Caenorhabditis elegans: one gene and its partner. The protein of the gene in region 2 purifies or fractionates together with the protein of the main gene of each other region. This does not show direct contact. Each region holds a gene or a part of one and is shown on either strand. Other genes may lie near its edges. The genes, in order: H25P19.1 and mrps-5.

The links.
Region 1: the proteins of mrps-5 (region 2) and H25P19.1 fractionate together in Caenorhabditis elegans (co-fractionation; one large-scale study listed by BioGRID). This does not show direct contact.

What each region holds. Positions count from the first base shown.
Region 1 is NC_003283.11:685,252-691,936, reverse strand, and holds H25P19.1 (CUE domain-containing protein), read right to left. Parts: upstream 4,254-6,685; 5' UTR 4,223-4,253; coding exon 4,089-4,222; intron 4,034-4,088; coding exon 3,886-4,033; intron 3,724-3,885; coding exon 3,538-3,723; intron 2,685-3,537; coding exon 2,521-2,684; intron 2,473-2,520; coding exon 2,055-2,472; 3' UTR 1,905-2,054; downstream 1-1,904. Other genes in the region: srx-4 (G-protein coupled receptors family 1 profile domain-containing protein), read left to right, coding at 45-174, 241-320, 632-806, 856-1,062; F31F4.1 (Nucleotide-diphospho-sugar transferase domain-containing protein), read right to left, coding at 5,803-6,010, 6,060-6,346, 6,391-6,455, 6,603-6,685.
Region 2 is NC_003283.11:12,561,888-12,568,573, forward strand, and holds mrps-5 (Small ribosomal subunit protein uS5m), read left to right. Parts: upstream 1-1,599; coding exon 1,600-1,780; intron 1,781-1,827; coding exon 1,828-1,978; intron 1,979-2,030; coding exon 2,031-2,608; intron 2,609-3,254; coding exon 3,255-3,361; intron 3,362-3,411; coding exon 3,412-3,546; intron 3,547-3,593; coding exon 3,594-3,752; 3' UTR 3,753-3,914; downstream 3,915-6,686. Other genes in the region: sel-1 (S5 DRBM domain-containing protein), read left to right, coding at 1-234, 295-705, 756-1,171; nssp-66 (uncharacterized protein), read right to left, coding at 4,412-4,512, 5,340-5,444, 5,958-6,039.

The DNA of each region.
Region 1 (6,685 bases), about 12 Mb from region 2:
TCAAATTGGTTTTTCGTTGAAAAAATGTCTCAAACAACTTTAAGATTTGTTTATGATCATAATTACCTCTCCTACTCGTACAATGTGATAGAAGGAGTTGCAAACTCGTCGAACAACTTTGATGTTCCTTTAAACGCTCTCAGCTCTGTGGTTTCGGCGTTTTTCTACGTTATGGTGAGTTTTTTGAGTTATTTTTGTCTACTTTCACAAAAAGAATGTTTCGAAACAAATAGTTTTTAGATATTCTGGACAGTTCACAAATCGACGCCCAACTCATCAACTGGTGAAGAGCAAAAATTACGGAGGGAGCGAGATGTCAAGTAAGCCTTCCGCTTAAAAGCGCGCTTTTTGAAATCGAGGTGCAAACGCGCTCCGTCGACAAAAGTTGAGTCTCATTAGGAAAGTTGTTATATATTTTCAGTCGATTTTTGATGAGTTTTAAGATGAAAATATCGTGTTTTTTAAACTTTGGCATAAGATTGTTAAATAGACGGCTTTGACGCGACTACCTAACGAGACCCAACCTTTTAAGGCGGAGCGTATGTATTTATCGGTGGGACACACTTGTATAGGGTATTTCAGTGGGGTGCGCTCCACGGGCCGAGCCTTTCGTAAAAGCTTATTCTCTCAGATACGCCTTCCAATTCTGCCTTCTTCTGATATTTTACATCTGCGCATGGTCCCTGTTCCGAATTCTGCCCCTAATCATCGCAAATCATGGAATCGAGTGGTTTGTGTTGATTCCAATGTTTTACACATTGAATTGCACTTCCAATGCAATAATTTATTTGGGATTCAATAGCGAGGTGAGATAATTGATTTAATTTAAAATGCAATTTAAAAATAATTTTGTAGGTCCAGGAAAACTTAAAGCCTCAAAAACTGCAATCCATTCTTCGCATTCTAAAATTTATGAAGCCTGAACCATCCTTTCAAGACGTCAGTTTGGCAAACGCGACGAATGCATCAAGTGTCGCTCCGATCCGCCACGTTGCACTACGATTTGTTCCAAAAAAAATTCACCAGCCATTTCGATCGATTGGAGTTCGAGAGGGACCATAATAATTTTTTAAGATTTTGCGTTTAAAAAAATTTCAAGCAGTCTCAAATTCAGAAATACCACAAAAAACAAACGCGCGAATTATATTTTGCGAATTTTCAACTTTTGAAGTATCGTCTTTTTGTCTCGAAACTCCGCCTATTTTTCCAGTGATTTTCTCCAAAATTTGAACTGCGACCAATCAGCGACTTGCTCCACCAACTTTTCAACCAATCAGAAGAAGTGGGCGGAGTGAGACGACACTGATTGGTTATAAAGTAGGTTTTCATTTTGGAATGAATTTAACGAAAATTGAAATATCACGTTTTACTACGGTAACACACAATTTTGAGAATGAAACAATATATTACCGATACAGAGCGTGTAGATAGTGAGAGAGTGGCAGACATCCGGGTCCCAAAGGGGCGGGGCGCGCGGAAGAGACGATTTGTGTCGATTTACGAAATTTTTCCCGTTGACAACATTCCGTAAATCGACACAAATCGTCTCTTCCGCGCGCCCCGCCCCTTTGGGACCCGGATGTCTGCCACTCTCTCACTATCTACACGCTCTGTATCGGTAATAATGGACACCAAAATATATCTCATAGCGAAAACTACAGTAGTTCTTTAAATGACTACTGTAGGGCTACTTGTGTCGATTTACGGATTTATCAATAGAATATTAAAATTAATCAGAAAATTGGAAAATAATACGGAGGAATGCAGGAAAAAATTCAAAAAGAAATTCATTTTGAAAACCGAGCCCGTAAATCGACACTACAGTAGTCATTTAAAGAATTACTGTAGTTTCCGCTACGAGATATTTTGCGCGTGAAATATGTTGCACAATGCGTATTTTTAGATTTTTTTTTTTCAAATTTTTTGTCTCAAAATAAATAATATTTATTATACTATTAAAAAAACAACACAAAATATGAGAAAGTGACACAACAAAAATCACGTTAGAATAAATATTACACAACCGGCAAAAAAGTGAGAGTTGAGATGGGGAATTATTCAAAGATGTTCGTCGAGCGTCGCGTTCGGGCCGGATAGGACTTCTGGGCTCCGCCGCGGGCCTGCTCGAGAGATCGCTTTAGGTATGGGCGCTTCGGTGGCGTCGATTTTGAAGTTCGCGGGGTGGATTTCGGCGGAGATTTCGGTGGAGTCGGCGAGGAAATGATCGAAATGCCCGGCGTCGCTGTTCCGAGTTTTGACGGAGTGAATCGGAATTTCAAGTTGATGCGTGGTGGTCGTGATGGCTCCGGCTCCGGCATCGGAGTTCCATTCGTGGATTCTTGAGCGCTGTTCACCGAGGTGGTGTCCGAATCGTTGTTCAGATCCGTTTCCTGTCCTCCTCTACTACCACGTAGATTCGCTAGGCGAGTTGACATGGCCTTCTGAGCACGCGTCTGCTTTTTTGGGTCTTGCCTGGAATTCAATATTTCTTTTTAAATTTAATTTTTTTCAAAAACTCACTGATAAATTGTGATATTACTGGCCTTCATTTTCTCTTCCAGCCTCTGCTTATCTTCAGGAGTAACCAGGCGATCTGGGGTCTCGAGGCGCCAATTTCCGCACAATTTGTTTTTTTCTTTATAGTAGAAATTGACCAGCGTTTTTGTGTCCACTCCTTTTCGGAACTGAATAAGAAATAATTTTTCTTAATTTTTTGATTGAAAAAAAAAATTTTAAAACACTAGTGTAGACTCAAAATGTGCAAAAGTCGACGAGTTTTGTTAAAAATCTCAAATTTTTCCATTGGAAATCAATTTTAAATTTATTATCGAAATTTCGCAGGATTTTGGCATGCGTTCTTAAAGACGCATGGATTTATTTAGTTGGGTCTCGGCGCGCAAAAAAATTATGGTAGTTTTTCTGATTTTTCTTTTTAATTTTTAAAAAAACATGTTTTTTTTTTTAAATATTTTTTCTCATTTTTTCTTTTCATATTTCTTTTTAATTTTTTTTGTTCAAAATTGTTTTTTTTTAATTTTCGGTTCAAAATCCATCTTTTTTACATTTTTTGCAATTTTTTTTTCAATTTTTTTTCCAGTACAAAACTGTTTTTTTCTGTTCAAGATCTTTTCTGTTTAAAATTGTTTTTTTTTCTAAAAATTGTTTTTTTTTTCATTTTTCTGTTCAAAATCGTTTTTTTTTTAATTTTTTTTGTTCAAGGTCAATCTTTTTATACAATTTTGCTAATTTTTTTTCCTTATTTTGTTAAAAATGTTTTTTTTGTTCAAAAGTGTTTTTTTTGTATAAAAATATGTTAAAAAATACCATAAAATTTTTTTGCGCGGCGAGACCCGTCTGAATAAATTCGTGCGCCATTAAGAAAACATTCAAAAAGTCTGCAAATTGACGACACGCGAAGATTTCAGATTTTAGCTAAAATTTGGCCTTTTTTTCGGAATTTTCAAATTTTCAAATTTTTTTTTCCGATAAAATTGTTTTTTTTGCACATTTTTTCTCAGTTTTTTCCAGAAAACTGACAGTTTTTGTAAAATAAAATTCCTCGTAGTGCATCCTTTTCCGCGATTTTGCATCCCTTTCAAACGGAGCATTCGCGATCATAATTTTCTTGGCAAAATCCGGCATCAAATCCGGAGCATCCATTTGCAAGGCGACACGTGTCGCAGTTTCAAAATCATATTCGTAGAACGAGAGAATTCGGAATGCCTGGAAGTGGGAAAATTATTAAATTGGCGGGGTGGTGATCTACAAAAAATGCGGGAATTTTTTCCGAGCTCTCAACTCCCGCATTTTTCGAAGATCAAACCGACATGGGACATTCTGACACCCAAAAATCTTTTTTTTTAGGAAAAATAAATAAAAATTCACCACATCCTCTGGCAAATGACATGTTTCTCGCTTAAATTGCTCAATATCGTGCTCTTCGACATTTCCTACTGGTGGAAGCATTAAAATTGTTTCATTATCCCTTTCAGAGACGGCGCTTGTTCGAAAATCCGGAATTTCTGCGGTAGATCTGAAAATTTTAAGGTTGGTTTTTTTAAATTTATTATTTTATTCTTCGAATTTACTTCTTATTATGACTTGGATGATAAGTATTATCAGCATTTCGCTTTGTTCGTTTCTTCAAAAATCTCTTTTTGCAATCGTCTTCCTCGCATTTTTCCACGTCTTCAGCCGGCGGCGGCTGGGCTCCTCTTCTCATTTTTATCGATTTTTTTGGGGAGATTATATCTGGAAATTATATATTTTTATTTGAAAGTAGTGTGAAAGTGTATATTTATTAATTAAAAATTATAAATCGATAAGAAAAATTCGAAAAATTGTGAGTCAATGCCGAAAAACTGCCAGCGAAATGAAAAATAAATGAAAAAGAAAAGTGCGGGGAGAGAGGCAAAGAGACGCAGGCGGAGAAGAACGGAAAACGACTGACAACGGGAGAACATGGATGTTTGTTTGAGGAAAGAAGGAATAAATGCGAAAAAAATTATTGAAAATGAAAAAAACTGTTTTACTACGGTAAATGGAAAAGTACGCGGCTTCCGTGTTTGCACAGTTCTCATTGCATACCGTATACCATATAAATAAAAGTTAAATTATGGATTTTCAGGTCAACTTTGAACTTTAGAATCGAAAAAAAAACGTTTTTTAAATATTAAAAAAGTTTATTTGTACTTGAAAAACTGATTTAAACCGATTTTCAATAAAAATATTTGAAAAAAAAAACGACAAAATTATCTAAAACCAAGTGATTTTATTGAAAAATGTAAGGAAAATGAGGGAAAAAGCACAATAACGTTTTTTCGCGCCGAGACCCATTTGAAAAAATTGTGCGCCTTTAAGTTTTACGAGAACACAAAATTTAGAAAATGCGTACAACATATTTGACGCGCAAAATATCTCGTAGCGAAAACTACAGTAATTCTGTAAATGTCTACTGTAGCGCTGATGGCGATTTAAGGGCTCGATCATTTATTTCTCAAAAGAATATTTTAAAAAAAAGCAAAACATAAGAAAATTCTCGTAAATCGACACAAGCGCTACATCAGTCTTTTAATGGGTTACTGTAGTTTTCGCTACGAGATATTTTGCGCGTCAATTATGTTGTCCAATACGCATTCTCAGAATTTTGTGTTTCTGTAATATAAAATTTATAAAACTTACAAGGAAAGTAAGTCAATCTAGTCCCGGACATTAAATCGAGACGTATGTCATTCGAAAGCTTATGTTTAGACTAGATCACCACAAAAATTTCAGCGGCGGAACTCAACTCTGAACCCCTGAAATCGCCATCTGAAAGTGCTCCAGTGCATTTTTTCGCTGATTTCTATGTCAAGTAAATGGCCTTAAAAGGGGTTCTGAGCGATTAGAAATTGTTTTTAGGGGGTTTTAGGGTCTAACAAACAATGTGGAAGCTTTTTGGAAATTTTTATTTTTTTGAAAAAATCTGAATTTTTTTCGATCCATTAGACACTCAGATTCTTTCAAAAAAATAAAAATTTCCAAAAAGCTTCCACATTGTTTGTTAGACCCTAAAACCCCCTAAAAACAATTTCTAATCGCTCAGAACCCCTTTTAAGGCCATTTACTTGACATAGAAATCAGCGAAAAAAATGCACTGGAGCACTTTCAGATGGCGATTTCAGGGGTTCAGAGTTGAGTTCCGCCGCTGAAATTTTTGTGGTGATCTAGTCTAAACATAAGCTTTCAAATGACATACGTCTCGATTTAAAGTCCGGGACTAGATTGACTTACTTTCCTTGTTAAGAAAAAAACAAATGTATTTCAATAATCTCCGTCGAGTCTTGCAAATGATTTCCTTTTCATTATTTCAATGTCGACCCGAATTTTTTTCAAGGTTTGCAAAATTTCCTCTTTATTGCCAAGCACCCTCAAATCGTAATTCCATGTAACATTTCCAGGTTTGCATTTTTCCAGGTCAAAATTTCCAGAAAACGGGCTATACCACCGATTTTTTGAAATTGGAAGTGGTCTAGAAATATATATTTTTCCTTAACTAGATATATTTCTTTTCTAAAAACCTCAGTCCATTTTGCGGGATTCCCCTCAACTGCCAAGATTTCCATCCATGCAACATAAAATCAATTCCCGGGTGCCATTGACTTTTCGTGAGCCATCCGTCTCTCACCCAGCTTGTTCCTTTTTCCAAAATTCGGATTTTCCCGAAATCTATAGAATCTCCTAGCAAATCACGAATACATGCCTCGAATGTGAACAGGTCTTCGTAGCTTTTTGATTTTTCGTAAAATTTTCGGCACTTTTCGAGTTTTGGAGAAGATTTTGGTGTTAGTTTTTCAGCGAGGAACATCTGAAATGGAAGAAATTCGTTATGGTGCATCGAGGATTGCTTACATGGATAGCTCCATTATCGGAGCCGTGAAGGCTCTTAGGTAGTCGTACTTCATAGTTTGCAAACTCTAAAAAAATTTAATACAGACAGGCAAAATAAGCTGCCTACGGCCTATTTTTACAGCTTTGGCGTGAACTCAAATTCAATAAGATTAGGCAGTAGGCACCAGGTAGGCATCCTTTTTGTGCCTACGTAAAATTATTAGAAAACTTACCGTTCAGCAAATCCACTGAAAATTTTGTATTCCTCGCAATATACGACCCCGTGGCAATTTCCCAATTCTGAAACCGGTCGTAA
Region 2 (6,686 bases):
GAAAAATGTATTTGGATGGAACTCCGTTTACGCCAAAAGATTATCAAAAATCATTCGAATATTTGATGAAATCAGCTGATAAATCTAGTCCTAGTGCACAGGCTGTATTGGGAGCAATGTATATGAAAGGAAAAGGAGTCAAGAAGAATTACGAAAAGGCTTTGAAGTTGCTGACATTGTCGGCTGATAAGAAGAACGCCGATGGACAAATGTATTTAGCAGAATTACATTACAGTGAGTTTTTATACTTAGCTGTTCATTTTTATTTTTAATACAAAATATATTTATTTTCAGAAGGTGTTCCAACCAACAAAGGAGTGCATCGAGATTTCAAGAAATCTGTGAAACTTTACCAGCTTGCTTCTCAAAATGGACATATTCTTGCCTACTATAATCTTGCTCAAATGCACGCTGCTGGAACGGGAGTTCCACGTTCATGTTCCCACGCGGTTGATCTTTTCAAATCTGTAGCCGAACGAGGAAAATGGGGAGAACGATTGATGGAAGCCCATAGCGCATATAAAGATAATCGAGTTGATGAGGCCGCAATGAAATATTTATTCATGGCTGAACTTGGCTATGAAGTTGCTCAAACTAATCTAGCCTATATTTTGGATCGTGGAGAAGCGACGTCATTGTTCTCGGGACCGAAAGATAACAATATGGAAAGAGCGTTCCTCAATTGGCAAAGATCTGCAAATCAAGGTAATTATTATTAAAAATTTTTAACTTATTCTAGAATTAATAATTTGTAGAATATGCTGCTGCTCGCGTGAAACTTGGTGATTACTACTATTATGGTCTCGGTACAGAAGTTGACCACAGTTTGGCGTTCTCAAACTATAAAATGGCAGTCGATAGACACGGTGTTGCTCAAGCAATGTTCAATTTGGGATATATGCACGAAGTTGGCGAAGGAATCACTCGGGATCTTTACCTGGCTAAACGTTTCTACGATCAAGCAATTGAGCATAGTCAGGATGCATACATGCCGTCGAAATTAGCATTAGCAAAACTAGCTTTTGTCTTCTATTTGGAAGAGCTCAACAAGCTGCCATTAATCAGTTTTATGGAGAAAACCGTTGGACCACGATGGGATGCTATTTTGATGACCGTTTCTGCATTGGTTCCATTATTCTTGTTCTGGAGGCACCGACAAAATGATAATTGATACGATTCTCTCCAAATGTAAAAAATGAAAAACAAAATGCCACATCCCTGTAATTTATTTAATTATCTTCCCTGCCCAGTTAAGCACATTCCGCGCCTTCTTTTAATAGTTGTAATATTCACATCAGCCTACTCGGGTCTACGCTGTCCCTTCTAATCATCAAACATTTGCCTTCTTTTGTGTTCGTGTTTCTTTTCTCTGTTAGATGGTCCAATTAGAATTCCTCATTTCGTGTGATTTACTTGCCGATTTTTTAGTAAAAAATCGGTTTTTTTCTGATGTACGGTATTCTCATACACTTTGAGTTTAAAACAAATTTTATTTCAATCCTTTTTTTCTTCTTCTATTTCGATTCGGTTTGATAAGAGTCCGATTCGTATTTTATGAATTCAAAACTTAACTTTTTTACGAACTCTGTTTTATTTTAGATGGCATCACTTTTGCCATTTGTCCAGACCCGTAGCAATACGGTGAACTTCTTTATGAGAAGATCTGGTCCAGAACTGTGGAAAACATTAACCTCCGTTTCAAAATCTGGTCAGAAGAAAGGACGTCGTAACACAAGACAACCAGTTAGACCTCTCAATCGATTTTATCGAATTGGATCCAGTATGTGAAATATTTGTAAAAGTGAATGGTTTGGAATTATTTTTCAGGTCCAATGAAAATCGAATTTGCTGGCCTGAATGCTCCAATCAGAATGAGAGAGACAGAAAATCAAAATTTGATGTCAATTGCTGAACAGACGGAAGATGAAATTCGAGATTCAATGGGTGGAACCAAGAAAATTCTCGAAGAACGAGATACGTGAGTACTTATTTTATGATTTTTCATTTTCACACATAATTCCGTTTTTTAGTGGAAAAAAGAAGCGCAACCGTGAAAAACTGCATCCGATGGAGCGTGGATTCTCTGGAACACAACTTGTCGGACAGAAACTTGGTGCACCACCACCACTCGATGGTGTGAATTTCGATGATTTTGAAACTTATTGTTTAGAGGTTAAGCGTACTTCTAACATGACAAATGTATTTGGAAGAGTTCACACAATGTCAGCACTAGTTGTTACTGGAAATGGACGAGGACTTGCTGGATATGCTGTTGGAAAAGCACCAATTCATCGTACCACTACAGCTATCATTAATGGAATGGGAATGGCATCCAGAAAGCTATTCCACGTTGAACTTCATGAAGGACGTACGATTTATCAGGACTTTTATGCTGAATGCCGTAACACTCGAGTATTTGCACAACGTCGCCCACGTGGATTCGGTCTTACATGCCATCCCAGACTGATCAAAATTTGTGAGGCTATCGGTATCAAGGATATTTACGTGAAAGTTGAAGGATCCACGAAAAACTATTTGGCATTGACTCATGCATTTGTCACTGGACTCCTCAACCAAGAGACTCATCAACAACTGGCCGAACGAAAAGGTAAAAAAAAGCAAAATTCTAAAAAAAAACCAATTAAATAACATATGTAACATTAAATTTAAACTCTTTGAAAGACGTAAACCAAAACTTGTATTTTAGAAAAGAACATTTATTATTTTTTGCTAAATATTAGTGTTTAGAAATAAAAGTTATAATCACATAAAGTAATATTCCCGTGGTACTGGAATATTACTGTAGCTGGATGTATCTTTGTAACAGCCATCAGAGGGTCGTGCCATCTGTACGAGCCAGAGCTGGGACCAAAAATAAAAATACGGGCCAAATTGAAATTTGCAAAAAAAAACTATTTTGGTTTTACTTACTTTAGATTTTTTTTAGAAAAAAAATCATTAAACCCACTGAAAACCACATTTTGTCAAAGTCTTTGTAAAAATGCCAACAAAAATTGTTTTTGTTTTCTTTAAGAGCTTGCTCAAAATTTTCTTCTCAAATCAAACTTGATAAGTCCTTTTAATAATTTTTCATTTAATTATATTCATAAGCTCTCATTTTTCTATAAATACATGCAAAAAACATCGGTTCGTTCTTCAGACTTTGTGGGTCTTCTTCCTGGGATTGCTGATAGATTTCTCATAATTCCTCTTCTCATACTTCCGTAATCAACTGGAATTTCGAATTATTTCAGGTCTTCATGTCGTTGAAATGTCCCCATCTCGTCATTTCTTACCCCAAATTGTGGCGTCACCGATTTCCACTGAACTCAAGACCGAGGAAACTTTAGAAGCACTTGATGTAATACTAGTTTGGATTTCCAAGAACATTTTCAAATTTATATTTTCCAGCGCCTGAATCTTGATGACTTCTATGGTGAAGGACGGTATCCATTAAGAAAGCCGAAATCTCTTCCATTCTTTTCCAACCTCGAAGGTCATTTGGATGCCAGATGGAGGAAACATCCTTTCAGAAATCAGGAATCGGTTAGAAGTGATAATGTACAACTTTAATTGAAAAATAAAATTTTCAGACTATGATTCGCCTGATTGCCGATAACATGGTTCCACGTTGGACTCGTGATGCTCGTGCTGCGTGGGCGGATCAAAGAAATGAACGAATGACAACGGGTGTCGAACCAATGCCACTCGGTATCGGACTCTCGCATGTGGTTCCCAAAAAGGATGACTAGGCTATTCAATTACTGTTTCTTTTTCTCGTTTTCTTTATTCAGTAGCTCTAGAAGGAAGTCTTTAAATTGTTTTCCAGGTTTGCTTTCTTTGTTCGTTTTGTTATTCTTTATAATTTTTTCTCATCGATAAAAATTTTCTGAGACCTATATCGCTACAAAATACCTACCTTTCTGGAATTACGACAGCTGTAAAATCGACATTTGGCTTCAAATGCAGCCTGAGCTGTACACGAAAACTGGACTTAAGTCGAGCCATTTTCAGAGCAGATGAAACTTTAGTAAAGCTGGATTGATTTTTCCTTTTTCTAATTGCACTTGTCACTTGCAGATGTTTTTTAATTCGTGTTTTGTGAGCTTATACTCTACAAGACAGGCTAACACAGAAATTATTTTATTTTCAATGTTCTCCAACGTGTAATGAGAGAGTGCTTGAGAAGAGTAGAACGAGAGAGACATAGTCAGCAAGAATAAAGTGATATGCGGCCAGCTAGGAACAATGCCACGTGGCACTTTTTATTTGGCCACGTGGAGTCAAAAAGTAAAAAGCTAAGTCTTGCAGGAATGCGGTTAAGAGGGGGATCGGATGGAAAGTTTATGGTGAGGGAGGTAGTGGTGAAAATTTCAGATGGATATTTTCAGACTTGATTTCGAGATTCAAATCAACGAAGTTTTGTCATGTAGCTTCCCAAGAAGATTTTTTGAAGATTTTTCATTCCACCGCGTTTGCCACCGCCATTGACGAAAGGAGACTTTTTGGAGACTGAAATCAAAAATTATAAGAATATGGAACTCATGAAAATATATTTATTTTCCATATCACATCACATATTTGTCACATTAAGACTCTCCAAATTTCGTCACAGTGTCCAGAAAAGAACCTTAATCCACTAATAAATACTTATAATTTATTCAAAAGACAATTGTCTTTATTTTTTTGAAAATAGCTTCCTCTTTTCATTATTCTCTCCGGGGGTGGTTGATCAGTCGACTAGATGAGAGGTGATCATTGAAACATGTCACAAGACTGGAATATACTAAAACAAAAGTTTGGAACAAAATTGAATCAACTTTTTGTTTTCGTTTTGAACAAGCGGTCATCATCAGTGAGCAATATATTAACTAATTCTGATTTTCATAATTTATGCGACGATTATTTACGCAATTGAAGTGTGCAATACACATTGACTATAGACAAAAACAAATGTTATTTCTCGGGATTTTGAATTTTCAGTAGGTACAGTAGGGCTGGGTTAGATGTACTTTTGCTTACACATCTTGGGAAAAACTCTCAATGAATCAACAAGAGAAGTTCGGTTGCAATAGTGATATCGTAACTTTACAACTTTCAGAAACACGCAAATAAAGGTGCACGTATTTTTTTGGATGGGTCTCACAGTGGGCAGATTATATTTCATCACGGTGGCGCTTTTCAAGACAACGAAGTTCCAAAAACATCGAAAATGGTACAAAAACTTTTTCTCCATACCAGACCCATCCAAATAAATAACTGATAATTGCGAGTTTCCGATAACAAAAGTTATGAAAATTTTGCCCAATATTTAAGAACAAAAAAAAAGAAATTCCTACCCGGTCCTGTGACACAGTCAAGTCGATAGAGACTCATCAAGTATTCCACACATCCCCAGTTTCCATTACATTCGTTTAGAGTCGAACAATCGACAGCGATGAATTCTGAAAAAAAAACATGAATTGAATCCTGCATCTACTTATATTTTTCCTAACTACTGTTAGAACTGAAATTTAGCCCCCTATGTAGTCTCTAGACATCAATAACTGCACGGGACTGAACTAATCTTTTCCCGCCACCATTATTTCCTTGATTTCATTTTTCTTCTCCTTTTTTCCATCAAAAGATTACCAAACCATAATCCTTTAATCTGGAAAAGCCAAACTAATAAGGAAGAACAAAAGGATATACTATAGACGTGATAAATCCATACGGGTAATTTACGCAAAAACAAATATTTTGCCTTGGAATCTTAGGTACGTGCTGAATGAAGTGCTTCATTTCCACCTACACCTATTGAAATCAGGTGGTGGTGCAATGTATTACTAATAATTCAAAAGGAAAGTATTGGATTACTCTGCAGAAATTTGAACCAGTTCGCCAATGTGGCGGTTCTTAGAACTTTGGTTTCAATTTCTAGGGAACAGTTTATAAAATAAAATAAAAGAATACCGTACCTTCTGGTGATTCTCGAATCACTGCTCCAAGAGCTGTGTGTAAAACGATAATGCTGATTGCAATGATCACTTTTGTAAGCATTTTATCTGCACTTTGTGTGTTACCTAGAAAAAACTATATATGAATAAATTTAAATAAATTTTAAAAAAACTCAAATAAATTTTAAAGAAATTTGAGGAAAGTACTTTAGAAAAAATGGGCAAAGGAGAGGCGACGTTGCTTTCTTTAAGAGGAAGGCTGAATCGCAAGGGGAGGGCTTGTAGGAAAGTGGGCGGGGCTTAGGAAAGAATTAAGCTGGAAGAGAAAATGAATGAGCAGGAGGGAGGGAATGGATGATAAGAATGTGTTCGTGATCATAACCTTTCCTTAAGGTTTAGGATGATGACTCAAAATTACGAAATTGAGTGGGTGGTCAGACTAGACGAAATTGCTACTTGTGAATGAGAACGCTTCTTTGTTTTCCTTGTAGCCTAATAGCTGATAGTCTCAAGTCATCAAAAAACTTCAGATGAATGGAAAAGATTCAGTGACGTCTTAACCACTTCAAAACACAGTAACCTCGTTATTTATGACTTTTATTATATTGAGCTCATCACTTTAACTTTTGGATATCTTTTGTGGTTATTTGTATACCCTATCAAAATTAATAGCCATATATCATCTTCTCGAGCTTCTTAGTCAGCTACCTTTCAAAAGTTTAAAGGATTCTAAAACGCGGTTTCCGTTTT